Coturnix japonica: one gene and its partners. The protein of the gene in region 1 interacts with the protein of each later gene in a pairwise test. Links are inferred from orthologs where the notes say so. Each region holds a gene or a part of one and is shown on either strand. Other genes may lie near its edges. The genes, in order: UBE2N, AMFR, E3 ubiquitin-protein ligase RNF103, ZNRF2, TRIM32, MID1 and LRSAM1.

Region 1 (4,395 bases):
GTCACACTGAGTGCAATGGGTTAGTGGGCATGATGGAGATGGATCGATGGTTGGACTAGGTGATATGAGTCGTCTTTTCCAACCATAGTGATTCTATGATGATCCACAATTAAAGAACAGTTGTAACTAGTACGACCAGATTTTGCTGAAGGAGCACATCTCAGCACAGCTATTTCACAAGCTCAATAATGAATGCAAATGAACTCACCCTTCACCGAGGCAAGATGAGGGAATGTTATTGATGAACTCTTTGAGATCCGATTCTGCAAATGTTTGATGCATTTTTTCTTTCCACATGTCAATACATTGATTTCATCGATTTCACAGAAAGTTACACCCATAATGTTAGGAGAACAATTTAGCGTTTAAAGGGCCAAACGTGTGTACAAGAATGCACAGGGCTGGTGTTTTTCATGAGTTGATATGAAAAGTTTGTAATTACTGGTGTATTCAACAGCTGAGGAGATCAAGTTGTGTAGAACAACTATGTACCTTTTAGTAGCCTTCTCAAAAGATAGAGAAGGAAAATTTGGTAAGTTTTTGGGAAGCAATGTGGGGAGGATGAAGATTTTGGCTTAGGGGAAGCTGAGGACAGGCCTCATGGCAGCTACAGCTCCCCATGGGGAGTGGAGGTGAAGTGCTGAGCTCTGCTCTATGGGGGGCAGTGACAGGCCCCAAGGGAACAGCATGGAACTGTATCAGGGGAGGGTCTGGCTGGGAGTTAGGACGTTCTTTCACTGTGTGGTGGGCACTGGCACAAGAACATTTGGACTATATTTGCAGACACAGGGTTTGAATTTTGGGTAGTCCTTTGTTGAGCCAGGAGCTGGAGTTGATTCTTGTGGGTCCCTTCTGACTCAGGCTATTCGGTTTCCTTGATTATAAGGAGGGAGACACGGCACTTCTGACATGCTTCATGTTATTGTAACCACCATGGGTTGATAAGAATGTTTCTATCTTAGGACACAAATCAAGCTTGCAGTATTTCTGACAGGAGCATGTTGGCAATTACACAGCCCAGATTTGCCAGTGTTAGAACTGTCCATTCTACCAGTGTGTGAAAACGGCGTAGCTGATCTAAATGTCCTGTTTGTGAACCAGGACTAAAGCAATTGACAGAGAATTGTTCGTGCAGGGTCTTGTTCCTGGGAAACTGCTTCATCTTTCTGTGCTTTCATTTCCCATCTGCTCAGCAACGGTGCTGGATGCTACTGTTGCTACGTAGCTGTAGTAGGGAGCCACAGGATGCTGCGGAGGTAACACCATCCATGTAAAACACCACAACATCCATGTAAAACACCTCATCTTTACAACATTTCCCTTCCTGTCAAGGAGGAAGAGACGTGACTAACGAGCCTTTAGTATCACAAAGGTGACATGTCCTGAGACATCTCTGTGACTGTTCGCTGACACACGTTGTACCACGCTGATGAAATCCGAGCTCTGTCAGCGCGGAGCTCCGGCCTCACAGCGGGACTCGGGGCAGGACTCGCCCCTTAATGGCAGCGGGCGCGGCCTACATTGCCCGACGTGCCGCGCCGAGGGCGGCGCCACCGGAAGAGCGGAGCGGGAGACTTCCGGCTGTGTGCGAGCCCCGAGCGGAGGCGAGCCCGCGATCTTGCACCCCGACGAGACAAGATGGCCGGGCTGCCCCGCAGGATCATCAAGGTAACCACGCGTGCCGCCCCGCGGGGCCGCGAGGCACCGACCCGCGGCTCGCTCTCGCGGCGGGCAGGGTCGGGCCTGGCGCCGCTTCCGGTGCGCGGGAGCTGTGGCCGCGCGGGGCAGGGCCGCTCCCAGGCCTCCCGCATCCTGCGGAGCCGCCGCCGGGCCCGGCCAACGCGGGGTTGAATGAGAGCGGGGCGCCGCGCCGGGCCCGCCCGTCCCCGCCGCTCCCTGCTCGGCCCGGCGGCGTGATCGGGTGGCGGGGGAGCCGCCGGGGCGTCCCGGTGTGCTGTGGGCGGCTGGCGACAGCGAGGCCGTGCCCGTCGCGGTGCCCGCCCGGGCGGCGTCCCGCGGCCCTTCGGGGCTCGGGCGGCTCCGGGCGCAGTGTAAGGCTGCTACGTGCGCTCCGAGCTGCCGGCTCTGATGTGCCTCGAGCTGTGTCTGCCAGGCTTCGCTTTTGGCTTCGGCCACTTCCAGCTACACCTCGGAGGGAACTGCAGGCTGGCTCAAACGCATGGAGTCACTCGGCACAGGCGCAGGGAGCTGCGTTGCAATGCAGTTCGTCTTGCTGATGATTTGGTCCTGTAGCCGATGTGAATGCTTCCTGGGTTGGCATCCTCGATCCTACTCGGTTTGCAGTATGTGGTTTGCAATCTCAAATCGGTGCTCACCGACTGCTCTTGTTGAAGTTACTAAACGATTCCAGTAAGATTCATTAGTTGGTTAGTGGTAGCACTTGTTTCATTTCCACCTGAATGAATGTCACAACTTGCAATAATGCTGCAAAGCTCTTCTTGGTTGAGCTTGCAAAGTTGGCAACCATTGTAAAACACAAGAACACAATGTGTTAACTAGCTGATGCAAAAAATAAAGATATATATATATAAGTCAGTATATCTATATCTACCTATCTATATAGCAGATGTTAGAGGAGATGGGATAAAAATTCAACAAGATTTTTTTTGTGTATGAAAACAGCTGAACTGTGACTGATGCTCAGAAATACAGGCAAAATAACGTGTCAATCTTACAGAAGTGAGTTTGGTCGCCCTGTTGCCTTGGTGCGCAGCATACAGTGGTGAATATATTTCAGGTCTGAGGAAATCTCGTGATATAGCAGAACTGGTGTTTATTGTAGAGATGTGGTGAGAGATGAGTTGTGAAGCTGATATGTCCGTGTTAGATTTTGCTGTAGGTTTTGATAGTTTTCTGGCCAAGCTAGTCCATACATTTCATTCTTAGCACCCTTGTTTCTTCTTTCTTAGCTTCTTAGGGAAAACCTAGAGCAATGCATGAAGCTCGTTTCCAAGATAGAGGATGGTATGAGAATGTTGCTCTTGTCCCTGGGGATAGACATCTGAATACCCCAAGCAGAGACCTAAATGGTCTAGATTTTCTCCAGCAGAGTCTTGCTTGGAATATTTCAGTGTTGTCTGTTGCAGGGTGGTGCATATTCTGGGCTGTCTATGTCCAGGTATGCACTGTAGGATGTCTGCAGACAGTTCAGGGCCTTTGAGTCTTGAAATGGGTGACCGTTTCTGTAGCTCCTGTGCTGTGCATACGTGAGGTCATCAGCGCTATGTATGGTCTAAGACTTGAACCTGACTAGTATTGCAGTCTTGAATGTGTAAGGTAATATTTGAAAGTATCACAGCTGCAGAGTTGAAGATCTAGGAACGAGCTTCATGAGTCTTGAATGAGGGCTGTTTTGATGCTTGCTACTGATCTTAATGTTGGAGTTAAATATCCTATTGCTGCTTGTCGTAGTTGGAGGGGAGTAAATGAACTCAGTGAGAATTTGAAAGATGAGGAAAGGAAATAGAAGAGAGAAAGATAGATGACAGAAAAGGGCTGTAGAAGGTTGAAATAATTCTAGTAACAAGTTGCAAATTTGATAACTAAATGCTTTGGGTTACTGCTAGGAGTAGTAGTAGGAGGGAAGGAGAAGACCTTTTCCCTTTGATCCGCGTGTGGCCTTTGTGTGGTCATCTGAGGGAAGCACAGCGATAGCTGTTGGGGTCTAGCAGTGTGTGTGCACCGTAGCAGAACCCAGCTAAGGGCTCAAAATGCAGTTGGCATTCCTCATCTTGATGGACTGCTGGCAGATGGCCTGGCTCTCAGGTTGACTAGCGGCCTGTGCTCTCCAGCCTGCTTCTCAGCTCTGTGCAGACTGTCATCCAGCCCAGCAGGAGAGCTCTGGCTTTCCTTGTCTCAGCAGAGAGCTCTATTTATATTTTCAGTACTTCTCCACGCTCATTTAAAAGGTGTCAGTATAGATATTGCAAAGCATTTTTTACAGGAGATAAAGGATTACTCCTGGCTCGCCGTCCTCAGATTACTTGGAAGGACAGGCTTTAAACAAGTGGGGTGAATGATCTGTAAGCTCAGGAGATGACTCGCTTTAGAAGTATGGCTTATGGTGTTAGCACATCACAGATGTTGAGTAGAAAATGTGATAGATGTGAATCCTTAAATCAGATGTATAATTGGAACTGGAGAAACACTGTGAACTATTTTGTTACTGCACATATTTAAGGAGTGAATCTTTGCAAAGTACCCAGTAAGCAAACCCAGAAATCTTCATTTTCAAATGTTTGTTAAACCAATTATTTCCTGTGTTGCAATGTCATGTTGCTCCAGTAGAGTAAGGAATTGAATTGCATCTTTTTTTTTTCTCCTTTCCTTTGGCTGACATTCAAAACCACCTCACTGCTGTGTCAAGTGCAGTGA
Region 2 (3,818 bases), on another chromosome or scaffold:
ACTGGGATGTGTTTGCTTTTCCTCTGTGGTCTCCTCAAAGCCAAAACCCTGAGAACAGAGCTGAGTCTCTTTCTCTTACCCACATTTGGAATGGGGGGGGGGTGGGTAGGCAGAGGGCAGTCTGACAGCCCCATAGAGCAGCCTGAGGTTAGACTGAGCTAACCAGGCCAGAACACTGCTAACATCTTTGTTTCCTCTTTTGCAGTCTCTGCTGGTGACAGTCAGAACTGCTCATGTGATTTTGCGGTGAGTACTGCTGTGGTGATTGCTCAAGGTGTTTGTGCACGTGGTGTGGATGTAAGAGCTGCATGCAGTCACCTTGCTGCATTGCAAATGTGTATTTGGGGACAGGCCCCTTCTGTTTTTGAAACATAAGTTCTACAGTGCGTGGATTGCTTTAGAGGCTGCTAATAGAGCAGTGCTTAAGACATGGATTAAAATGGATTGGCACTGCTGTTTGGGGGTTGATGTATGCTCCTTGATACCATCATACTGTGTTTCTTTTAAGCTCCTGATCTTTCTAGCTTTTGCTCTAGAGAAGCAGAAAGCTCATGCATCTGCAAGGCGTATGTAGGGCATGACATAAAGAGCAAAAGCTCTTTGTCCAGGTCACCACCAGCTTTCTGGGTCTGTCATTAAGCTGTAATGCCTCACCTGAGACACACCTCAGAGGCTGAGCAATGTGGGTCTGCAGCATGCAGTACTGTCATCTCAAAAGGGGCTCTACGAGCACACAGGAGTTTAGTGAACACCGTTGTGCCTTGTGGTGGCATCTGTAGTGCCAGTGTGGGCTGAGCACTGGCTGCTTTTTGCCTTTGTCAGATATTGCTGTTTGAAACCAGTAAAAGTAGAGAAAACAAAGAAAGTGCTGGGCCTACAAAGGGCAAAGAATCCAAACCGAGAAGAATAAATAGCTTAGAGATTTTAGCTAATGAAAACCAGCAAATAAAGTTAATGTCTGGGCTCTTGCAGATATGTAATTCATCTCTGGGATCTCAACCATGAAGGAACGTGGGAAGGTAAAGGCACATATGTGTACTACACGGATTTTGTCATGGAGCTGACCTTGCTTTCGCTGGACTTGATGCATCATATCCATATGCTGGTATGGAGCACTGCAGCATTAGCTGAGTACCTTGCCTTAAAACACTGGGTGCTGGGTATTTCAAATAGGCATTTTTGTTTTGCTTATTTCGTGTTGTAGAGAAGTTCAGTAAATGAAGAGGAAAGTGTTGTATGGGGCTTCTGGCATTCTTTCGTCCTGTGTAATTGCAGTCTTCATAAATAACTTTGTTATGGAGTATTAACTACTGTGTAATTACCTGTTTAATTGGCTTTATTATTGAGCAATCACATGGAATTATTTTCACTGGCAGCAGGGGGCATTCAGACAAACAGGGCTTGAACACCATTTCTCCTGTTATGAACCCTGTGCTACTCAGGTGGTTTTTGAGGGAAATGCTGTTTGAGGAAATGAAATGAGGAAAAGCATTTCCTGTGAGCAAGTGTGGTTAGTTTGAATGTTCTTAATAGAAGAACTGATTTCCTGGGTTCTTGTTCTTTTAAGCACAGATACAGTTTCTTGTGGCTGCCTCCCAGTTCCCACTTCTGATCCCTGCTGTTGTTTTTTTTTCCCCGCCAAAGCTGTTTGGCAATATCTGGCTGTCGATGGCCAGCCTGGTGATCTTCATGCAGCTGCGCTACCTGTTCCACGAGGTCCAGAGAAGGATTCGGCGGCACAAGAACTACCTGCGTGTGGTTGGAAACATGGAGGCCCGGTGAGTTGCCTGCTTGCTCTAGGGTGTGCATTGTGCTGTGGGGACAAGAGCCCAGGCAAGAAGTTGGGGGTTCTCTTATGTTCCTTTGATATTCGATGGTATGTTGTGAGCTGGAGAGATGCTGTCTTCCAAAACCTGCTCTGAAATGTTCCTGCTGTAGAGGGTGTGTTTTTACAGTCTTTGCTTCCATTGTATTTGTGACAAGGGACTCTCTGTCTCAGTTTAACAGATACACAGGCTGACTTTTACCAGGCATCCTACTTTTGTACAAGTAATGCTGATCACAAGTGAACTCTTCAGTCCAGAATTTCTTCTGTTTGCCCTTATGTACTGCCCTAGGTGGTAGGGGTGGCATAAGGTCTGCAGAGCTCAGCCTGCTTCATGTATTGCCTTTGGCTCTGATGGAAATTAATGCTTCTAATTTCCTCAGGCTGTGTCATTCAGTTACTGCCAGAAATTTAATCAAAATATTAATTAAAAGAAACAACCTGTTCATTAAACGTGAGGCCAACTTCAAGCCAGCTTTGCACCTGGAGCAGAGCTGAGGGCCATTCAGGATTACTTTAGGCCATCCCCCTGTACCAAGACAATGTAGAGAAGTGGAGAGGCCTGCTAAAAACTGAGAGTGTGCCATGTGCTTCTCCATCTCTGATGCCTTGTCATAGTTCAGCTGTGTCCTCAGTAAAATAAAGAGCAGCAGGGAGTTTTTTTGTACATTGCGGTACCATTTTCATTTTAAACTCTGATGGACTTGACCAGCTCTGATGCCTGCTGTGCTCTAAGTAGAGAGAGCAGTCTTCCCTGGAGATTCACAGTGTTTTCTTTGCAAAAGGGCAGGTAGTGCTATCACACCAGGTTAAGAGCTGCATAGCCATGTTCATCCACAGTGGGTTACTTCTTTCTGGTAACGCAGCTGCTGAACCCTTTATATTGCTCTCAAAGCCATTTTGAGTTGTTAATGTTTCAGGCATCTTGTCTGATGACTTTGTGTAGTTGGTTTTTGGGTGTATTGTGCAGTGGCTGTACTGCAAAATGTTGTGCTACTCATCTCTGTACTGTCTCTACTGTTTGTCTTTGGGTACTATGCAATAGATACTTGCACTGTAGATTAAACATATAATAATTCAAAGACAAATAGAGGTTGGTGAAATCTGAGGGCAAAATTTGTCAAACCAGAAGTACTTAGGAAGACATTTTGATGGGTACAGCTATTAAAGCTCATTTAGAAAAATGACATAAGCCAAATCTATACAGGTTATAACTTGAGGTTCTTGACCTAATGATCATGCTCCGTGGAAGGCAGTAAGTCATTTGGGCTTAGGGTGTATGCAAGATGTGCCAAAAGAAACTGTGCAAGAAAGCATGGGAGAGACGTGTATGATAGTTTTCCTTTACAGCATGAGTTCCGGTTATGGAAAAGGTAACAAACATCCTGGCACGCCTCCCTCGAGGAAAAATGAATGTGAAGGGTAAGGTTTCCTCAGTGCAGAATCCTTTAGGCAGAAAGCTGTGCTGCGCTGGGATAATCATTACTGCTGTCTCTTCCTTTTATAGGTTTGCAGTTGCGACACCTGAGGAGCTAGCAGTCAATAATGACGACTGTGCCATCTGCTGGGACTCCATGCAATCCGCGCGGAAGCTCCCCTGCGGCCATCTCTTCCACAAGTATGTTGCTGGGGCTGCAGGGCCTGGGGACAGAGGTTATGTGGGGCAAGTGTGACACTTAGAGCAGGGTGACAAGCAGCCGACTCAGCTGAGCTGTGGTTGCTGACTGCCTGGGCCATCTTGGTTTGCTTCTAATTACAGAGCAAAAGTAGCATTTGCTTCCATGTTGGAGCTGTTTCATTTGCTGCCTTCTTTCCTCTGAACTAAGAGTATATTTGTTGTCAGCTGCTACACAGGTAGTACTGAGTTATGGTATCTCAGTTGCAAGTCTGTACCCTGCCTTTCTGTGCAAATACTTGGTAAAATAGGCCTTCTTTTTTTTTTCCCTCTGTTGGTCTCAGGCTTTTCTTCTTCCATGTGTGCATGTTGGTTTTC
Region 3 (4,288 bases), on another chromosome or scaffold:
TCTGCCTGCAGGATCCCCTCCTGTATGATTTAAGCCTGAAATTAGGACTCATTGATCGCTTCCAAAATGCCAACACCATTTTGATACAAAGGTAATCCGTCATCTCACTGCCTGTTTCAGAGGTGGAGATAGCAGAGCACTAGTAACCGAAAGTCACTGAATCCTGGCAATCAATTTAAATAGAAAACATGAAGGGGGGAGATCAGACAAACCATTTAATGCAGGAAGGAGAGCTGTCAACTAAACAGTGAATTACCTGGTGGAAAAATCTGATTGCCCACTGAGGCTGGTAGCACCTACAAAGATCTCTTATCAATGGAGATGTTGGTGAAGGAAAGTATTTTTTCACATTCTTAATCTAGACTACTTATCTTATGTTCTCATATGTTCCCAACAGTGATGATAAATTGTTCCAGAGCCTCATTTGCAGCAGTCTGAATGTTTTCTCGTTCTCATGCAGCCCTGGGGAAGCACGCTGTAAATCACTGTGCCCACAAGGTTTGGGTAAAGGCAAACTTTGAGCTTCCAGAATGTATTGCGCAAACAGGCCTCTGGATTGGAAAGCTGCACCTCTCTCGTTTGTGAATGAAGAGGTAACAGACTGCTAAACTGCTCTGAGCCCCTTAGATAAATAGGCACTTAAACCAACCGGGTCTGAGCATATAATAAAAGAAGAGCAAGACCAAAGGCACTGCTCCTGTGCCAGCTGGGAGCATCTATACCTAATGCACTTCATACAATACACAAACTTGCACAGTATCAGGGCCTGTGTGCTACATGTGTGCTACTCTGCTTGTTTGCTGGCTGTCTTCTAAAAGCAGTCCACTGAGTAACAGGTTTTCTTCTTCTCTGTGTAGGAACTCTGTTGCTTCCAGTCTTGCTCAGGTTTTAGAACATATTTGCTCCTTCTGATCTCCTTGATGTGGTTTATCTCTGCCATCATCTCTCTGCTATGCATTTTTCCTACTAGTTAACCACTCCCAACAATTCCTGCTTCCAAACTTAATTTGAATGAGATAAATAGATAAAAAATACATGATAAAACATCCATACCTGTACCAGCCAGATCCCATCTTTTGTGTCTTCTACAAGCTCATAGAAATGCATTTCACCACTAAAGTTTGTACTTGAAACTGACTCCGAGGCCTCTTCCTCCTTGAGAGCAGAATAAAGTTCCCCTTCCATAAGGTCACCTGAAAAAGAGACAACTGGACACATTCAGTTTGAACATGGTGACAGATCACTTCATAGCAGCAAATTCTAATAGTAACGACGATTCCATTTCAGAAAGCAGCAGTTTCACTACGTAGGTTTTAAATGGGTGCTCAAAACCCTTATCAGTAGGAAGGCACTGAACTGAAGTTACTTTAGTTCCATCCATAGTGACCTGACTACGAACAATTTGACGGCGCACATGAATACACAGACGTATCCCACGTGAGAGCAAATGAGCATCTCCTGAGCCTCCCTACCTGAAAACCCTTCATGACAACTGCTATTTTGGCAACTAATATGTTAAACTGGAAGAAGTGAAGTCTTGCCCAAAGGCTTCCTACAATATGAAGGGGAGAAAGAAGTGCTGTGTTACAGCTGGAAGGCTCGAGAGCTTACAAAAAGTATTCGTGGAATTCCAACTTTGAAATTATGAGAGAAATTCTGCAAAGCCTCTTGGCACCAGAGTTGTTTCCATGACATTTCAAGTCAGTTAATACAGTTTGTTTGGCGTTAAACACTTCCCTGCAGCATTTGCAGCCCAAACATAATGACATCATGAAAGTACGTGACAGCCAAGGAGCGAAAGTGATTGGAAACAATACCCAAATTGCCTCCTGGTGCCGACTGGTGAAGCAGCAAAGTGAATAAACAACATAAATAAACAACGAACAATACAAGCGAATTAGATTTAGATGGTTGGCTTTACCATCAATTCTTAAAGCCTGTTTTGTGGCTGTGGCTCTCCATGTATTCACCCAAACCCTTCTCTTTATTTCTGTCTGGCTTCCTGAGTCCCCTTCCTGTATGTAGCACGGGGATTTTTCTCTCTCTAACAGCAGCCCTTTGCCCAGTGATTTACAAGCAGCAATGTCCTGCTTGGCTGGCACTACGCTGATTACATCAGCCCATCTCGAGCCCTTTGGGCCACTTCCCTTTGGGCCACCACCACCACCTGGACTTTGCACGCACCCTCAGGGCTGCAGCCCCCACTTTAACCAGCCTGTACCAACTTCTGCAGCACTTCCCTGCCCTTCTCCACGCTGCAGCCACCGATCCCACAGCGCTGCCTCCCCCATCCCCGTCCTGACGGCACCTCTAAACGCACCGTAGGGAAAGGGACGCGGCTTAACAACCCGGCCCCGACTGTAAATAGCAACCCTGCAGCCTGCGGGTATCTGGATTCTTTCCTCCTCGTTTTTCACGGCGGATGACATTCGCTTTCAGCCGGGCCAAAGGGAACCGTTCCCCGAAGGGAAACCATTTCTCGGCAGCCTCTCCGAGGCCTCCTCCTCCTCCTGAACGCCTCCACCCCGTGCCTCCCTCCGCAGCCGCCCCAACACCGTGCCGGGCTCGGGGCGCTCCGGGGTCACTCCGGGCCCGTGCTGGGCTCGCTGCCGCAGCGGGGAGCGCCGCTAATGCCGCTAATGCCGCTAATGCCGCCGTCCGAGCGCCGCAGCACCGCGATGTCCTTGGCCGGAGCTGCCGCCTTAGGCCCGAGGGGAGGGAGGGAAGGGAAGGGAGGAGGAGAAGCGGCCCTACCTGACTTCTCCACCAGCTCCCGGACATCCTTCTTCTCGGGCAGCCCCGAGTGCCCCAAACCGCGGCACTCCAGGATGGTCCTCAGCTTCCTGAAGCTCAGCGCCACCGGGTCCACCAGCTGCGTGGCGAAGAAGCCGGTCTCGTACCACACCACGGCCTCGAACACCCTGGCCAGGACGAAAAGCACCAGGAAATACAGCAGCAAAAAGAACAGCTTCAGCCACATCTTTCCCGGCGGGATGACGGACGGACAAGCCGGGGGTTGTGGGGGGGGAAGGGGGGCGGCCGGCGCTGCCCCGCGGGTGGCGGCGCTGAGGCGGCGCGGGGCTGTCAGCGCGGCGGGGCTGCGCGCCCCCCGCCTCCCTCCCGCCGCTGTCCCCGCCCCGGCGGAGCCGCGGCCGCCGGCGGAGACATAACAAGTGACGTGAGAGGGCGGGCGGGGACCCACGGAGCCGAGCCCAACCGAGCCGAGCCCAGCCGAGCCGAGCCGAGCCGAGCCGAGCCGAGCCGAGCCGAGCCGAGCCCAACCGAGCCTCCGCCTCGCTGCCCCGGAGGCCCTTATGGCCCCGGAGGTCCCTATAGCCCCGGCCCCGCCGCCTCTCGCCCGCTGACGGCAGAGGGAAGGCCTGCAGAGCAAATGGGCTGCGCCATAAATGAAGAGGTTGTGCCGTAAATCAAGGGGTTGTGCTTGCACTCGGTATCAGCTCAGAACCCGATTGCTGCGGTTGCTGTAAAATACGTGTAAGAAAACAGCGAGAATGGGTAAAGTGCAACCCAGACTGAGGTTTTTCATTCGGAGAATGATGTTTATGCAGCCAGAAGTGCTGCATAAAGTGCTGCTGAAGTGCTTGGACAGTTCACAGGATCATAGATAGAATCCTTAAGGTTGGGAAAGGCCGCTGAGATCACCAAGTCCAACCACCGACCCATCCATCCCCACCACCACCACCGGGTGCCACATCTCCAGGGTCCTGAACACGTCCAGAAACCCAATGGGACCACAGGGAATCATACCATAGAATGGCTTAGGTTGATTCAATAACCATCAGCTGGTTTCAACCCTCCCTGCTATGGGCTGTAGACCAACCCACTTCACTGGGGTTCTGCACAGGAAGCATGAGAAAGGCTGTAAGAGGTGATTTAGGCTGCTTCGAAACACACTGCAGTCACACTCGGTCCTTGAGATGAAGGCTCTCCTCCAAAGGGAACTCAGCATCGCCTCTGTGGGTTTGGTTATTTTAAGAAACCACAGTTTGCATTAAAATTGCCAACTCATACACAAACACAGAAATAGCACAGCTTCCTCTAAAGAATCCTGACAGCCCCTCGGAGCGCACACACGCTGAAGTAATACTGTACTAAGGCATGAAAACCGAATTGTAACATAAATATTGACCTGTAGGAAGCATCTAAACGGCCACACTCTTCAGAGCTGTTAAAAAACAGTTAGAGGGTTTTCTACATGTTTTAAACCCCCCTCCAAGGGCCCACCTCCCTGATGAGAAAGTGGCACAGCATCAGGGAGATTAATCCT
Region 4 (4,599 bases), on another chromosome or scaffold:
TCTGTATATAAAGCTGCTCAGTAAAAATGACAATACAGTCTAATTCACTAGTGGTAAATTAATTACAGTCATCAAACAAATGCAACACCCACCCACACATCAATGATTGATGAAGCCAAGCAGTATCCCTAAAACTATAAACAGACAAAAATGCAGTTCAACTTCTTCTTCTTTCTTTCTTTTTTTAATTTGAATAGAACTATTGTGCTAATTCTACAAATTAATTTTGGTGTTTTCAAGACGAAAAGAAACAACTGTGTTTGCAAGTTACAAAACAAGGGAGGGTACTTTCAGCATGCATTTAATACACAAGTTAAATGCCAGATACCACACCTAGACAAGCTTGAGCTAGTTACCGTCGGGTCAAAAACACTCCTTCAAAGTTATTTTTCACCATTCTGAGGATACCAAGTTACGATCTTCATTGAGGATACACATTCCAAGCACCTAATTGGTATGAGAAACAGAGGAAACACAAAGCCTGCAACTAAACTGGGGTGTCTCAATTCAGCATCATCTGGTTGTGTCACTGATATCACAGAATATTTAAGTTGTAAAAAAGGAGTATATCGAATGAGGTCTTTTTCACCAGCACTGCTGTATTCCAGTTAAACAGTTATTCATCCTGATAAGAAACACTAAGATTTTTAGAACAGAAAAAGCAAAATGATTTATGATCACCTCATGACCACCTATGGAGAGTCTATTTTAACACTGGCCACTAAAATCCCAACGTATGGCATTCCTTGTTTTTTCATGAGGAGATGAAGAGAATGCACCTCTGCCGGTGCTTCTTCTGCACCAGTAGAAGCAATAAGCTTTGCTTCACCTCAACCTACATCCCCTTTAGTAGCCCAGTTTCAGAGATTTGTAGAAGACAAGCTGTTGTAAAGCAATTAATGCATTATGACATGCCATAAAAAAAAGCATAATCAAGTTCAGAGTTGTTTTGAAGAGACCTTCTTGCATGTGACCAGTTTGCTAGGTAGATCATTGCTCCTCATTGCAGCACTTACATTTAACTCAGAGCTTCCTTGAAGCAAGGCAGGCTGTCAGATAATATCCAGGCAAGGAGAAAAAAAGAAGTTTTTCGTTACAACAACGTTAAAGCCATATGCTTTAATTCCCTTGTGCTTAGCATGAACCTCACAACACTCGCAGTAGGGCATCTTTTCCTCACTAAAAGAAACATATGCACCTACCTCCAGCAAGCTATCCTGACATTACAGCGAGTACCCCTGCAACAAAGCACTGTTATTCAGCAGCTCGGTGCTATGACAGCAGTAGTTTTCTTCAGGGCAAATACTCCTTTAACATGACAGGGCTTGGCAGCTCTCTGTTGCATCTCAGAGCTGCACAGGGAGGAGATGGCTTTGGCTGCAGGCAGTGACAGCTCTGGTGCCCCCAGGTCAGTACAGTGATGGGCATGTGACAGAGCTCTGAGCGCCCCACCAGGCTTCAGTTGCCAACAGGTCGCACCACGGGAGGGAAGGGAACCCAGTCTGCTGCAAACACCAGGCACGAGTCCATTAATTGCAATACAGAAACGTGGTAATTTGCTGTTAGTCCTGCCCTACTGAGAATAAAGCTGTTGGGGAAGCCGGTCGGTATTCAGCCTGCTTGTAACACATGTATTCCATGATAAATATTGGCTTTATCAAAAAGAATGAATCCACTGGAAAATGTCACCTTGCACCTGAATGCGTGACCAGTACAAACAGCGACCTTTAGAATGAGTAGAGCTGCAAGCAGTCGGCAGTTTCCGTGCAGGCTCTTAACTTTAAAGCAAAGAACCCAGGCAGTAAAACGCAAACCCTCCACTAGCTAAACAAATAAAACTAGAAAGACAAAAAAGCTGCACACACTCGCTCCAAGTCTAATGCACTTCTCAAAGGGCCCGGGCTGCTGGTTCGCCTCCTGCTCCTCTGCTGCCCAACACACGTGGCCGTCCCCGGGACCGCCTGGGTAGGGAAACGCAGCCCTCCGCGCCCCTCTCTTAGGGGAAATAACAACTTTCTTTCGCTTCTCTTTTTCTCAGCTCTCACAACTGAGAAACCGAGAGCTTCGAAGGCACGAGCGTCGGCCAAGTAGCGATCAGCATCTAAAGAGAGGTTTGGTCCGATTTTAGAATAAAGGGCCGAGACGCATGATCCAATTAAATTCTAATTATGTAAGTAGTAAGGCAGGAGTATTTACACAGGCACTGATTACGGCTATTAAAGTCTAAAGTCGGCGGCCGGGAGGCTCCGTTTCCTCCTAACCGTGCTTTGCCCCGGCTTTGCTTCCAGTTTTCAGCCCCCACTTCCCAAAAACTCTTTACAAACAGCGGGCGGGCTGCAGCCTCCATGGGTACACGGAGAGGCCGCCCTCAGCTCCCCCCCTTACCCCCGCGGCCGCCCTTACCTCCGAACAGGTGCGGCGAGAGGTGCGCGGGTAGCGAGCCGATCACCAGCCGGGGCCCGCCGGCCGATCCGCCGCCCCCCGCGGGCCGGTCCCGGCCGCCCTCCTCCGGGGTGCTGCTCACCGAGTCCTGCGAGCCGTAGGGGCCGCTGCTGTGGGGGATGTTGAAGGCGGACTGCGCGGCGCGGGCCGCGGCGCCGGCACCTCCCAGGGACCTGCTGCGGGGCGCCGTGCCCGCCGCGCCCCCCGTCGCCGCCGCCGCCGCCGATCCGCCGTGAGCGCCGTGTGGCGCCGCCGCCAGGTGCGGGTAGCGCCCGCTCGCCGCCCGCCCGCCGGTCCCGTTAGCGCCGCCGCCGCCGCCGCCGCTGGAGGAAGGTAAATCCCCGCCCGAATACGCCCGGGTGCGGCCGTTGGCGGCGGTGGGGCTGCTCTGCTTGGCGCCCATGGTCCCCCGCCGCCCTTCGGAGAGGAAGGCGCCGGGCGCTGCAACGCGTCGCTCGGTGCGTCGGTGCCGTAGGGTAGAGCCGCCAGCCGCGATCCGGCTCAGCTGGCGGTCCCGGCGCGGCCGCTGCCGGCGGATGCGGGGCGCCGCCGTGAGCTGCTCGGCACGGTGCTGCTGCTGCTGCTGCTGCTGCTGCCTGCCGCCCAGCCGCCGCTCGGCCCCGCCGCCGCCATCCCGCCGCTCCGCGCCGCGCTCTGGGGGGCACGGCGGGAAGGGGCGGGCACCGCGGCACGGCCGCTCCTCTACGCTGTCGCCATGCTGGGGGCGGCCCCGCGCTGGGAGCGGGCGGCTCACGGCGCCTTCCTTCCCCCTGCGCGGCGGGGTGTTGGAACCCGGAGCGGAGCCGCCCGCCCCTCTCCTCACGCAAGGTGCGGGGCGGCGCTGAGGGCGAGGCCGGCGGCGGAGCCGGTCTCCGCAATGCCCTCACGGGGTGAGGCGATACCCTGCTCGGACCGGGGGAAGGAGGAGAAGGGAAGGGGTTAAAGCCTCAACCGCCGCCGGCAGCCGGTGCTGCGGCCGTTAGGGGCGGAGGCGGGAGCGAGGGCCGCGGCGAGCCGAGTTGCGTCTGTCCGTGTGACTCGCTGAGGGGCGGCCGTAGTGGTTCTAATACAGTGTGCAGCCACCAAGTTTGTCTGTGTCGTTCCTCGGGGTGCCCGGGTGGGGAGGAAGGTTGTCCTGACGCGGCTCCTGGCGAGCAGTGGCATCTCGGATAAGCCATGTAACAAGGTTGGTGCAGCCCTGAGGTCGGCTCATGGCCGGGAGGATGGAGGCTGTCCTCACTCATTGGAGTCTCCCGGTTGCTGAATGCAATACACAGATAGAAACTGCGCCCAAATTGCTGTGAATTGTACCTGTGTGGCTGACGGGCTCGGTTTGCTCAAAGTGAAACAAGTCAAGAGCAGAAATACTCGGTTTCTTAATGGTATGTGATGTTGAGCGTCTTACACTTAGAATGTACACAAATGTGATTCCTACAGGTGAACAGTCATGGAGGCCTCCCATTCAAACCTTTCCCCTTCCCTGTTACAGATGCTTTGTGACACAGTGCGGCCCACAGCTTGGTGTGCTAGAAGAGCTACCTCTGCTTGAACGGTGGAGGAGGCAAAAATCTCAGAGATTTCAACAGGAAAAGCCTGAGATCCCGTTAATGTTCCCACAGAAGGAAAAGCTGCCATAGGAATTCCTCCTCTTTCACTCGATTCCAAGAATTCACATGGGTAAAGGATGTTGCAGACATGACTCATAATTTCTGCTGCTTGCAGAACGCTCGTTGCCTGTTTCACCCTGTTAGAGGCCAGTGTGCTCGGAGCTGTTAGTGCGTTCTTAGCATCTCCACTGGCTGTTAGGACAAACAGCGCTTTGGAAGTACTGCATTGCTACACAGTACCATGGTACCATCTGTATTTTCCTTATGGTGATCCTAAGAGTTGAGCAGGTATTAAATAGATCCTATTTGGTTACGAGTGACCTTGTATTCAATTTAAAATTAAACAGTAAAGCCTGTGGGGGAAAAATAGGCCTGAAGACATCTGAAGAGTTATTCAGTGGTACAGTCAGAAAATTAACAGCATAGAGTATCTCACAGAAAAGGGCTCAGCTGCAGACAGCAACAGGACAGCCCCTGCCTCCACAGAAAGTGTGGATATTCCCAGTGAGATATGATTTTCCTTTCGCTTCTGTTTTTGCTTTGCACCTGG
Region 5 (2,600 bases), on another chromosome or scaffold:
ATGGATGTGCTTCCGAGTGCTAAAAGAGATTAAAATGAAGCAATCTCCCCCCCTCCCCAGCCCCCCAACCCTCATCGTGGGATATAAAGTGCAGACATGTGGAAACCTGACTGTAAGGGTGACGATCTGGAGAGCAGGCAGTGAGGTGCAGGTGAACATATAGTTGTGTGTGATCTAATTTACTACCCCCCGCCTCCCCCCCAGATGAAGGTACCTCCCAAAGACAGTTCCCAAGATACATTTAATAACAGAACAATCCTGAATATCAACAGATTTCCCCTGTTTTTTTCTCCTCCAGTCCCCACCCTCCTCCTCCCCAGCAGAATTCTTAGCAGTAATAATCACCCTGTTGCCATCAGAGGGCAGTTTTCTGGCTCTGCTCGGTCTCCCATGATTGCACTGTACTCACTTCACATTGAACAGACGCGGTTCACAAACGGCACGACAGGGGCAATCTCCTGAATAGCAGAAAAGCAGAGAGAGAAACCCCTTGCTCCTCAGTTTGAAAGTAAGCTCCATCTCCGTGCAGTTTAAGAGGGCTATTTTATTTTATGCAGTGCTGCAATCAGAAATTGCTTTCTGTAGTAGTTGCCCAGACAACTGCTACCGAGTTCCTCGTGAGTACCATGGCGAGGAGAGGATTGCCTCTCCAGTCCCCTAAAGGAAGGTGATTTAGGGCAGCCAGTCAGTGTTTATGGCACAAAGAAAGGTACAGTGGATGAAGACATAGTCAATGCAGAATAAGGAGGTGAGAAGGGTTAAGGAGCGACTGGTCATTTAGCAAAAAACCAATATTCCAGAAGGATCTCTTCCTTCTTGCTTTTCTTTTCTACTGTGCAGATTCATAAAGAGAAAATGCAGGGCACCACCATGTTAGTTGTCTTGTTCCCAAACAGAAAACGTGATGGCCTCCGTGCCAATCCCTGTTGGGCCGTGGTGCAGTTTTCTCAGTGTTTGACACTGGTCCCTGTCAGATAGCAGTGAGGCTGGAAGAACTGCTGCTAATGACAGGGGTTTTCACCAGAGAAATGCCTTTAAGGGGTGGAATATCTTCTCAGATGGTAACTGTAGATCTTAATGCAATGATCCCAACAGTCCAGCACCAACAGCTGCCCTTTGGGAGTAATGGCAATACCAACCGGGCAGGTGAGTCCCTCCCGGATTAAGATATTATAGCCACCTCCTTTAGGAAAATGCAGGATTTCTTTACGACTGCTGTCAGCAACGATGAGGTCTCCTCTGGCATCTACGCACATCCCAGCGATGCACCTGAAATCCTCGTTCTCAGAGAAGAAGTGGCTAATCTGGCGTCCCAGCTGCCCGTCTGGGCCGACAGAGCCAATAGAAAAGCCTCCTTCTAAGTGGTGTTCGTACTGCCTGTTTTCCAAGTTGAGCCCCAGCCCCTGAGTGAAGTATATGGTCCCTTCAGCATCACAAGTGACAAACTTGGGCCGCACCGCGCTACACAAGCAGGTGTACTTCACCACCCCCACGCCACGGTCCACAGTGAAGCACCACAGCTTCCCCCCTTCCACATCAGTCACCACAAACTGCCCAGAGGGCAGAGCCGCGATGCCCCAGGGCTTGCTTAGCTGGCTCCTGTGACATGCCACACAGTGGCCATCCATGGTGTACACCTTGACGGAGTTATCATAGCTGTCGGTCACACCTATGAGGCCGTGGCAATTCATGGTGACAGAAAGGGGAGTCAAATTAGGCAGGTCTGCTCCAAGGAAGCTCAGTACAAAGCTATCGATTCCGCTGGGGCTCCGGCGGATCTCCTTCAGGAAACCTTTGCGGGTGAAAACCTGGATACGAAAATTGCCTCGGTCCGCCACAAGCACCTCTCCTTGGAGAGTGACGTAGAGGCTGACGGGCAGATTGAACATCCCTGGCAGGCTACCCTTGGAGCCCATCTTCTTGATGAAGTGACACTGTTGGATGCTTGCAGCTGCTTCGGGCATCCTTGGTTTGACTGGGGAGGAATTTGGTGTGCAGCTGGCTTCTTGTTGCATCAAGTCAGGCTCTCTAAATGATGCCGATGAGGATGCTGCAGTTTCCATGAGTGATTCTTCCAAGTTAACAGTCCGGGGTTTCTTCACCACCTGCCCAATCTGCAGTGGTCCCACATGGCTCACTTTAAGGAGTTCAACCTCGTGAAGTATCAGCTCCCCTGGGAGACTGTTTGTCAGTTCTGGTTCTTCCTCATCTGCTGCCTCCTCCAAGAGAGCAATATCTCCTTGCTTTATTTTGGCAAGGAAATAATCACAGCGAGACAATATCTGCACTTCTGCTAAGTTCAGCAGATAAGCTTGTTCCTCCATTACCTGATTATTTACCTTCTCCACTTCAGACAAAGAGGTGGTGAAGAACTTGCGTGACCTGGCCAGTTCTTCCTGGATCTTGCGTTCTTCTTTGCTGTAATCTTGCAGAACTGCTCTGTATCTAGATTGCAGGTCACTCGAAACACCCTCCAGAGATGCTTTTCTTTTCTGCAAATCATCCATGAGCTCCCGAAGTCTGGCAAGCCTTGTCCCAAATTCCCTTCTACGCTCTTCAGCAGCCTCTTTGATAGCAATGACATTATGCCCTTGGGGCAC
Region 6 (4,460 bases), about 71 Mb from region 1:
TATTCTTGATTCCCTATGTACTGTATAGGGGGACTATTTTAGATATATTTATTGAGTCTTACAGCTTTTATTGGTATTGTTTTTCATTTTTCTCCCCTTATAAGCCAAGCTCCTGCAGTATCAAGAGGTTGAATGTTTACGCCTCAGGGGAGAGGAAAATTATAAGGAAAGAAGTATTGAAAGCGTTAGGAGTGGTCATTAGGAATAGCTTTTCTACACAGTATATTATTTGATGATCTCTAAGACATATATATTACATGGGGATAAGAAAAGTTCTAGTCCACTGGGTAATGATAATTTCCAGCATTTGGGTGGTCTAGAGGTCATCAGGAAGAGGATTTTGTCTCTTTTCTGTCTGAAGTTATAAGGGATACATCCGAAGGAACAAATGAAAGAAGGGAAAAAGAAAAAAAAAAAAAAAAAGATACACTTTATAGTTCAATGTACTGTTTTAAAACATCAGCTTTTCATCACTTGATCAAATCTTTTAACTCTTATTTCTTGTTTTGGTTTCATTCACCCTTTGTTCTACTTGCTCCTTCCTGTCTTTCGCTCCCTGTCCCTCTCTGCCTATGTTAGTGTTGCGGCTTGTTGAAGGAGGGCCATAATGAACAGGGGAATCTTGTGTGAGTAGTATAAAGGGAAATGAGCAGCATGATTTTCCCTACGGTTAACTGATTGCTTCTTGAAGACATCTGAGTTGATCTTGCAGAAGGGGTTTAGTGAGCAGTGGATGGGCAAGAGGAGTCAGGTACACCTCTGCTCTGCAGAGTGCGGTGTGTGCTTGTTCTGGGTAAGCACCCTATCCATTTATCTCTGTGTGGGTGGGTGTGTCTGTTAATGTATCACAATCACACCTCCCGGACTAAGACAGGTCTATCACCAGAAGCTCAGCTATTACATTGTCTAGAAAAGGAAGTAGGAAACAGTAAACAACCTTGGCTTGTACTGCTTCTTTTCTTTTTTTTCTTCCCCATTGACTGCAGTGTCGCAACTCTTTTTCATGTAACGTTTGATATATGGCAGCCTTTTCGCATAGAAAACTGATACAATTGGAATTAATTTAATGCTACCAGAATGTGCGTGCGTGTTACCTTTGTGAACCCTTGTGCTTTTCTTGGAGTCAAAAGTATAGGCTAAGGCAGGTGTCCTGCAAAAATATCAAGTGTTTAACGTAATAGTGACATAGCACTCACTGTTGCTATAGATGTAAGAAATGGAATAACTTCATAGGTGCTAAACTGCTGCAAGGAACCCACTCTCCCCTCTGGTGACACTGAAGTGCTACGCAAGCAAACTTCAGGCAGGCAGCCCCATTTGGTATTTGTGGAGTTAACAAAGTTAAGCTCTCTCCCGGCTAGCCTCTTCCACTAGGAATGCAATTAGTGTTCACCTATATAAGGAAACCTGCCAGGCGGCGGGGCTGGGGCTGGGGCTAACTCCGCGCCCAGAGAGCGGCACTGCGCGGGCTGGACAGGGCTCGGCGGCAGCAGCAATAGCAGCGGCAGAGGCAGCAACAGAAGCAGCAGAGCAGCCCAGCGCTGGGAAGGACTATCCCGTTTTCTTCAACTTCAAGACGAGGAGGAAAAGAGCAACAATGGAGTGGCAGGTATGTCGGCACGGAGCCCTGAGGCGGGAGGGTGGGAGAGAGGCTCGGGGGGTGCCTGCGAGACTTGTTCCCGCAACTGCTGTTCCCCCCCTGAAATGGCTTGCTGGATTTTAGAGAGGCTGCAAAGCAAAAGCGTGCTTCTTGTTTGCAGCAACATCTGTACGCACGATTACATTCACTTATCTGACGTTCTGTGCGCTTCTAATTCACGTACACCTTTTTACCGGGGTGATAATCAAACTTTCTTATCTCTGATGGAAATCAGATGTGTGACTGGAAATGAGGCTGAGATGCTTTGCTTAACTCTACGAACCTCTGCAAATGCGGAATTTTATGGTACTGTCACGTCTGGAGAGCAGTCCTTCACTTTGTAGCGTGAAACATGCCTTTTGTGAAAGGTGTGCTCCTTTAGCCCTTCCGGGATCTCAGTGTTCTTTATTGTGATGTGTGTGAATGCAGCCCAGTCAGCGTAGCTGGGATGCGTTTGCTGGAATACAGGGAGTTCCTGCAGTAATAAAGCTTTTTCAGTGAGTTAAAAAAACAAACTGCAGGTTCTGCTCTAAGAAATGTAAGCAAAACTTGTTCTTCTACTGTTAGAGATTACACCAATTCACAACAAGGATGTGTTGCCTGGGAAATATTTGCACATTCTGTTAACCTTCACAGGAGGTTCTGTGTAAAATCCTGACTGAGAGAGTGAAAAGAAGGGGAGGAAAAGTTTGTTCCGTGTAGATATTGGTGAAGACATAATAAAAAGTCAAGTTGAAAACTTACCTCAAACAGCTTTCTAGTTGGAAGAATGCTGCTATGCAGTCCTTCAGGATAGTTAGCCATTAGCATCAGCCAGCACGTGAGTTCTGTGGCAGCTCACTCAAGTTGTGTGCAGTTAGGGTATAAAAGATAGCAATGAAAGAATACTTTGAGTTATTTCTCTGAAAAGTGCCTTCTAAGGAGAAACCACACAGAACTATTCAGCAACAGGTGGAGTTTATTTTCAAAATGCTTTTGTTATCTTAGCAATTGGTAGACATAACAATGCTTTTCACTAATTTTCATTGTTAATCATATTTAAGTGGGCGTATGAGTGATAATGCACTAGTTATGGGAGTTTCAGCTCTATCTCTTCTGAGGACCAAAGTATGAAAGTAAAGTACAGTCTTACTACTAAGGGCTTAAAAGCTTAGAGTGAAGATTATTGTTATTTAAAAACTCATAAAGTTTTTACATTTTTCTGAATGAATGTCTACTTGGAGTCTGTAATGCGACATTACTAAGGAGGCATCAGGATTGTAATTCACCTGTGTTGATACATGTTCTCATTCACTTATATGCATGGCAATCCTATTGAGGAATCAGTGGGAATGACACACACCAGTAGTTTCAGTAGAGCATTTTATTGGAGCATCAACATGGCAAAGAAGGTATACACTAGACAGTGCTTCAGAACTGCAGCTAGTGAGTTGATTGTCATGAAACATCTTTGGTCTTGGTGGAAGGCAGTACAGCAAATACAGTACCAGTGGACCAGAACCATGCAGTTCCTTTGTATCACTTCTCATCCTTGTGATTTTCAGTTCATATCATACAATCACAGAATCATTTGAGTTTAAAGGGATCCTTAAAGGCCACCTAGTGCAACTCCCCTGCAATGAACAGGGACACCTACAGCTAGATCACGTTGCTCAGAGCCGAGTCCAACCTGACCTTGAGTGTCTCCATGGATGTGGCATTCACCACATCTCTGGGGAATATAACCTTTATTAATGTTAATTGAGTGGAAGCACAGAGGATAGATTTTAGTAGGGTCGTTAGTAATTGAAGTATGAATTTAAAGGGCAGGATAAGGCACTATATAAACTTACTCTTGAATCTCCTTTCCCCTAGCATATCTAGTAAATTACATTGTCCCCCTTCATTTGGCATCTAGCTGTGCTACAGTCATTCATGGTCTTTCGGCTTCCCAGTGCAAAATGAGATAGAACTCTGATTCAAAGCCTGCACAGAATCTTCTGGGCTGGCATGAGCTTACTCTAGCCCCGGGTCTGGGGTCTGGAGCTCAAGCCTTATAAGAAACAGCTAAGGGAGCTAGGAGTCTGAAGAAGAGGAGGGTCAGGGGAGACCTTATTGCTCTCTATAACTACTTGAAGGGAAGCTGTAGTGAGCTGGGTGACAGCCACTTCTCTTGTGTAACTAGTGATAGGACTAGAGGGAATGGCCTCAAGTTGTGCCGGGGGATATTCAGGCTGGATGTTAGGAAGTATTACTTTTCTAAGAGTGGTCAGGCACTGGAATGGACTGCCCAGGGAGGTGGTGGTGTCACCAATCTTGGAGGTGTTCAAGGAACATTTGGATGTTGAGTTGATGGACATGTCTTAGTGAGGACTATTGGTGATGGGTGGATGGCTGTACTGGACGATCTTGTAGGTCTTTTCTAACCTCAGTGATTCTGTGATCTGATCAGCAATCTGTGGCCATCCTGGGGCTGGTCCCAACTGCAGGCTTTTCCAGGGAGATGGGCGGCAGTGTGGGCACTCATGTTCTTTGCCATGAGGTTTCTTGTACCCTCCTCTGCCACCCAAAGCATATGTAATGGGGCAGCTGCAAAGCCTGTGCTATCACACCAGAACCTACCAAGAACTAGGATCTGTGCTGCTACTTATATATATATATTAACTTGGTGCTGCAGGTGTGGTACTGCATGAGTTTTCATTGACTCAGATGCACAAAAAACGAGTCCTTCTCTGACCAGGATATATGGCTGGGAAAAAAAATTTAACCTTGTTTACAGTAAGAAGAGAATTGAATAGTAGATGAAGCAACTTAAAGGATAGATCTTGTGTATTTTCTGAAA
Region 7 (4,590 bases), on another chromosome or scaffold:
ACTGCCATTGTGCTTTACTGTGAAACAAAGCAATGGCACCAGTGAGCTCAGTGAAGCACAGTGCAATTCCAGCCCCCCATTCTCCAACTGAGGAGCAGCATTCCTCAGTTCACACAGAGAGCCGTAAGGTTACAGCTACACTGGGGCTGTGATCAGTGCTGCTGTTCCCAGCCTTCGGCACAGAGCTACCCACAAGAAGAATAACTCTGTTTCCTAGGTTGGCATTTTCTCTCAGCTCACCTCTGGACTATACAAGTCACTGTATTATTAGACAGGTACAGTGGCGGGTGGCTGTTCTGCTCACTTTGATGCACTTGTTTAAGGAAATCCCACCGCCCCAAAACCCCCCTGGCACTTGTCTGCCAGTTCACACCAAGCAGCCACAAGGTGCACGTTCTTTTTCAGTACTAAATGACACCAAGAACCAAATGCGGAACAAAACTTACTGTTTTTCTGCTTCTTTCTGTCACGGGGGGGCTCCTTCAGAGCTTTGATAATCAGAGCAGAGGCAGAAGGAACCACTTCAATCTAAACAAAAAGAGATAAGGTTCTTTTCCCCACAATCCAAGCACACAGATAACACAAGGCCAGGCCTTCATTCCCTGCTCCCCAGCACACGCCTCTCCCTCCAGCACAGGACTTTGTTCCCAGCCTTTCGGCACAGCCCTTCCCACAGCCATTGGAGCGCTGCTTCCTGGGCTGGGGCTGCTCTCAGCTCACCACTGGAATATACCAGCTACTGAGTTCAAGGCAGGTACAGTGGCGGGTGGCTGCAGGACGGGCTCAGAAAGGCTTCATTCAGATCTCCACAGCCCTCGTTTCACATCCCATACAACACACACAACCAATGCACTCAGAAGGCTCAGACGTTCCGTTCCCACCCAGGCCTTCCCAGAAGCCCCCACACACGGTGTGGTTCTCATTTTATCCACCTCGGAAGGATGAAGGGCTGAGTCGACCCTGCCGGGATCGTGCTTGTGTTGGCAGCGAGCAGCGCCCGCTCACACAGCGATCCCTGTTGGCGTCGTGTACCTGCGCTTGCCTGTTCTGGATGGTGAGTTTCACCGTGATCCTCAGCCCCTTCCAGTCCCCGGTGGCTTTGGCGATGTCATCCCCGACCTTCTTGGGAGACTGAGCACAACACACACGTTAAGGTCATAAATCGATCAATACGATCATCAATCAATCAATACGATCATAAACCATTAATGAACGCCCCCCCCCATTGCGGCCTACACGTACCAGGCCGAGCGGGCCGATCTTCGGGGCCAACGCGGAAGTGGCTCCGACCTCCCCTCCGGTGCAGCGCAGATACACTGTGGGCACAGCAACGCTCCGTCAGCTCCTTACCGCCATCCCCGCCCCCACAGCCCCCCCCAACCCCACACGTACCGACTTTCACTTCGGTGGGATCGAATTTGGGCGGCATGGCGGCGGATGGCGGCGGATCGCACCGACTGCGGCCTGCGCCACGGCGGAAAGGCTGCGGGAAGCGCGGGGGAGATATATATAGGCGCCGAGATCTCGCGAGATCTTGGCAGCTTGCGGGATCCGCCCTCCGCTCGCACGCAGAGAACTCTATGGTGCGAGCAGGGGGCGCTCTGACCGCTCGTCTCTATGGTTTGGAGGCCCCGAGGGGATGCGGGGCGTCATGACAGCGGGCGTCGGTGAGAGCGGCCGGGATGGGGCTGGGGGCTGGGGGGCTGCGGGACGCATTGCGGGGATGGGGGGACGATGCTGCCGCTTCTGTGGCCGTGCTGACACTGCGGGTCACTGATAGGAGCGGGGCGGGGGGTCTCGCTGTTCCTTATCCACGTCCCCCCTGTTCTGCCCTGCATCAATCCTGCCTGTTTCTCTTCCCCTGCCATCTCAAAATGAAGGATTGTCTCATTTCCAGCCCCAATTTACTCCCTGGTATTTCACAGCTGCTCGTTATTGTGACGGAGTTTATCGGTTTTGAGTCTGAGTATCTCGGTTTTGCCCCTGGTTCCTGCTTTCTGGACCCAGCTTTCTTAGTTCCCATCCTGCAGTGGATCCCGTGTTTTCCTGTGTGTGTCAGTGTGTGTCTTCATTTATCTCACACAGCACTGACAGGACGTTCCTCCTGTCCCAGTTGTTCATCAGTGCTCCCATGACTCACACTGACATTTCCGCTGTGCCGGTGTGTTGGTCTCAGCCTGTGTGTCCCAGCCAAAGGTCTAAACAAGGCTGTGATCCTTCTCTTCTTTTTCTGTCTCCCTTCTTAGAGCACAGTTCTGTAGTCCAGGTTCCTCTCACTCCAAGATCCACCTGCCTTCCTTTATGCTGATAGCCTGTGCCATTAAGAGCTGTAACACAACTCAAGATGCCGCTCTTCTTCCGTAAGAAGAAACCCAGTGAGGATGCTCAGAAGCGCCTTGAATACCAAATGTGCCTGGTAAGCAACACTGCTGTATCCTCTGTTGTCTGTACATAGTCCCAGATGCCTCGTTACTGATCTCATCCAGGTTAGCAGGTTGCCTTTCTAATATATTACTCCTGCCTTCCTGGTCTGTTCTTGCCCTTCCCTCCACACATCCCCTCTGTGCTACTTCCTTCCCTTTCCTCTCCTGTGGTTCCACATCACATCTTCCAGCCCACCCCACATTCAGGACCTCCCGTCCTTTCTCCTTCTTGCTACTTCCAGCAATACCCAATATGCAGCAAGGGCCCATTCATTCATGTTCTAACTCTGTGTATCTTCTCCTACCAGGCAAAAGAGGCTGGTGCTGATGATGTTCTTGACATATCCAAGTGTGAGCTGTTAGAGGTATGTTCTCTGGAACTTTCGATATTAGCTGACAGGTCTTATTTCTCAGTCTATTTGTTACCAAGCATCAGATTTAATATCATGTCTGTGAGCTCTGGGACAGAAATGGCCTTGTGCCTGGTCCACTTCTTTCTCTGTATGCATGTTCTCTGGCTTTCAGGGCTAAAGTATCTTAAGTATCATGTGCATTTGCATTAAAGTTAATTACTGAGACTTTAGAGGTGGGTATTGTAGAAGTGCTTAGAAAATATGGGATCTGGTGAAGTCTGATGTGACCGTTTGTAAATTGTTTTTAGGTTCCATACGGGGCCTTTGCAACTTGTAAAGTCTTGCAGAAAAAGGTAACGATACGATCCTGAAGTGGATAATTCTGTTATTGTGCATGAATGTGGCTGTTGTGTTTGAGATGGTTGTTTCTGGCTGTCTGTGATGCATGTGGCCATTTGGCAGGACTAACCTGTTGTGTGTGCTGTACTGCTGCTGTCATGAAATACGAGCTGATGATTTCTATCCTAACCTAATGAACGATATTTCTCATACAAAATAACTAAAAGTCTGTTTAATATTAAATATTTGACCTCTACAATTCATTTACTATTTTAGGTGACTGTGAATAAGATACAAAACTCTTTCACAACCTCTGCAATTAAGTCTTAGCAAAAGTCTTATTCTGGATCCTGGTGCCCCTTATGCTCACGTTTCAATGGGTTTTTCCCTCCTCAGGTGCTGATCATTCATACAAATAATCTCACATCTTTAGTTCCAAAGTCCTGTAGCCTCCTGAGTCTCATAACTGTGAAGGTAATTGTGACTTTTAACAGCCATTCTAACTGCATTCAAACACACTACCCCGAAAAATTCCTCCTGTCTGACTGTTGTTACCAAAAAGTGGTAACAAAACGTGACGGCTCCCCTTTGTAGGTTTACAAAACCTGGTGGATCACTTGAATGTGGGTGAGGCTGGTGATGGGGGCACCTGATGTTGGTCTTTCTATGGAGCAGTTCAGGCCTTAGACCCTGCAGAAAATATGTTTTTCTGCCAGGCTGATTTTCATGGAGATCATTTGTTCACTTGGCACGTCCAGTTTGGTGGGACAGTTCCTGTGGTGCCTCTCCTTTCCCTGGTCACCTGTTTAGCAGTGGACTCTGGAGTTTTCCATTGCTCAGTAATTCCATAATTCACAGCCTTTTGTTTTTGCACGATGATGTCTTTCCCCAACACTGTTTGATGACATTCGCTGCTCTTGCAGGTTCTAGATCTGCACGACAACCAGCTGGCATCGCTTCCTGCTGATATTGGTCAGCTGACATCTCTTCAGGTAAAGGATCTCCTGGATGCCAAGCGTCTGTAAATGGTGTATTAGGGAACAGCTCATACTGGCTTAAGACACTAAATGTCTTATTGCATTTCAGAGGGTCTGCTCTGCTTTGGGGTGCAGCTCTGGATGCATATCACTGGCAGATTATTAAGAACTCATTCTAAAAGCATTTTTGCTTTTATAGCCTAGAAAACTAATTTTAAATCACCCTTTCTGGGGCTGCAGAATAGTCCCAACAGCATAGATATGGAGAAAACCTGAGACTTGTGTAAAGGATATTTTGATTATCTTTTCTGTTAACATCTTAGGTCCTAAACCTTGAAAGGAATCTCTTAAAATGTCTTCCACAATCCATAGGGGATCTTGCCCAGCTCCAGATCCTCAACGTGAAAGGTATGACTTTGTTTCTTGTTGGTGCCGTGGGCAAAGCATCACTTGTTTTCTGGGTTGTGTTGAGCTGCATTAGTAATTATACCTCTTAAC

What was found.
Region 2: the proteins of UBE2N (region 1) and AMFR interact in a two-hybrid assay, tested with the Homo sapiens proteins (2 studies listed by BioGRID and IntAct). The link is inferred for Coturnix japonica from reciprocal best matches to the Homo sapiens genes UBE2N and AMFR.
Region 3: the proteins of UBE2N (region 1) and E3 ubiquitin-protein ligase RNF103 interact in a two-hybrid assay, tested with the Homo sapiens proteins (3 studies listed by BioGRID and IntAct). The link is inferred for Coturnix japonica from reciprocal best matches to the Homo sapiens genes UBE2N and RNF103.
Region 4: the proteins of UBE2N (region 1) and ZNRF2 interact in a two-hybrid assay, tested with the Homo sapiens proteins (4 studies listed by BioGRID). The link is inferred for Coturnix japonica from reciprocal best matches to the Homo sapiens genes UBE2N and ZNRF2.
Region 5: the proteins of UBE2N (region 1) and TRIM32 interact in binary tests that used the Homo sapiens proteins (3 or more experiments, as listed by UniProt). The link is inferred for Coturnix japonica from reciprocal best matches to the Homo sapiens genes UBE2N and TRIM32.
Region 6: the proteins of UBE2N (region 1) and MID1 interact in a two-hybrid assay, tested with the Homo sapiens proteins (2 studies listed by BioGRID and IntAct). The link is inferred for Coturnix japonica from reciprocal best matches to the Homo sapiens genes UBE2N and MID1.
Region 7: the proteins of UBE2N (region 1) and LRSAM1 interact in binary tests that used the Homo sapiens proteins (3 or more experiments, as listed by UniProt). The link is inferred for Coturnix japonica from reciprocal best matches to the Homo sapiens genes UBE2N and LRSAM1.

What each region holds. Positions count from the first base shown.
Region 1 is NC_029516.1:40,865,217-40,869,611, reverse strand, and holds the start of UBE2N (ubiquitin-conjugating enzyme E2 N), read left to right. Parts: upstream 1-1,518; 5' UTR 1,519-1,638; coding exon 1,639-1,668; intron 1,669-4,395. UniProt on the Homo sapiens protein: The UBE2V1-UBE2N and UBE2V2-UBE2N heterodimers catalyze the synthesis of non-canonical 'Lys-63'-linked polyubiquitin chains. This type of polyubiquitination does not lead to protein degradation by the proteasome.
Region 2 is NC_029526.1:510,585-514,402, reverse strand, and holds part of AMFR (E3 ubiquitin-protein ligase AMFR), read left to right. Parts: intron 1-205; coding exon 206-246; intron 247-972; coding exon 973-1,105; intron 1,106-1,644; coding exon 1,645-1,778; intron 1,779-3,175; coding exon 3,176-3,247; intron 3,248-3,332; coding exon 3,333-3,443; intron 3,444-3,818. UniProt on the Homo sapiens protein: E3 ubiquitin-protein ligase that mediates the polyubiquitination of lysine and cysteine residues on target proteins, such as CD3D, CYP3A4, CFTR, INSIG1, SOAT2/ACAT2 and APOB for proteasomal degradation.
Region 3 is NC_029519.1:77,623,907-77,628,194, forward strand, and holds the start of E3 ubiquitin-protein ligase RNF103, read right to left. Parts: upstream 3,086-4,288; 5' UTR 2,981-3,085; coding exon 2,755-2,980; intron 1,194-2,754; coding exon 1,054-1,193; intron 1-1,053. UniProt on the Homo sapiens protein: Acts as an E2-dependent E3 ubiquitin-protein ligase, probably involved in the ER-associated protein degradation pathway.
Region 4 is NC_029517.1:38,037,465-38,042,063, forward strand, and holds the start of ZNRF2 (E3 ubiquitin-protein ligase ZNRF2), read right to left. Parts: upstream 3,050-4,599; 5' UTR 2,846-3,049; coding exon 2,404-2,845; intron 1-2,403. UniProt on the Homo sapiens protein: E3 ubiquitin-protein ligase that plays a role in the establishment and maintenance of neuronal transmission and plasticity. Ubiquitinates the Na(+)/K(+) ATPase alpha-1 subunit/ATP1A1 and thereby influences its endocytosis and/or degradation.
Region 5 is NC_029532.1:2,238,497-2,241,096, reverse strand, and holds part of TRIM32 (E3 ubiquitin-protein ligase TRIM32), read right to left. Parts: coding exon 1,035-2,600; 3' UTR 1-1,034. UniProt on the Homo sapiens protein: E3 ubiquitin ligase that plays a role in various biological processes including neural stem cell differentiation, innate immunity, inflammatory resonse and autophagy.
Region 6 is NC_029516.1:112,129,044-112,133,503, forward strand, and holds the start of MID1 (E3 ubiquitin-protein ligase Midline-1), read left to right. Parts: upstream 1-1,452; 5' UTR 1,453-1,609; intron 1,610-4,460. UniProt on the Homo sapiens protein: Has E3 ubiquitin ligase activity towards IGBP1, promoting its monoubiquitination, which results in deprotection of the catalytic subunit of protein phosphatase PP2A, and its subsequent degradation by polyubiquitination.
Region 7 is NC_029532.1:870,832-875,421, reverse strand, and holds the start of LRSAM1 (E3 ubiquitin-protein ligase LRSAM1), read left to right. Parts: upstream 1-1,550; 5' UTR 1,551-1,667; intron 1,668-2,246; 5' UTR 2,247-2,344; coding exon 2,345-2,416; intron 2,417-2,731; coding exon 2,732-2,788; intron 2,789-3,084; coding exon 3,085-3,129; intron 3,130-3,511; coding exon 3,512-3,589; intron 3,590-4,038; coding exon 4,039-4,107; intron 4,108-4,415; coding exon 4,416-4,500; intron 4,501-4,590. Other genes in the region: RPL12 (60S ribosomal protein L12), read right to left, coding at 1-17, 447-528, 1,033-1,131, 1,243-1,316, 1,393-1,429.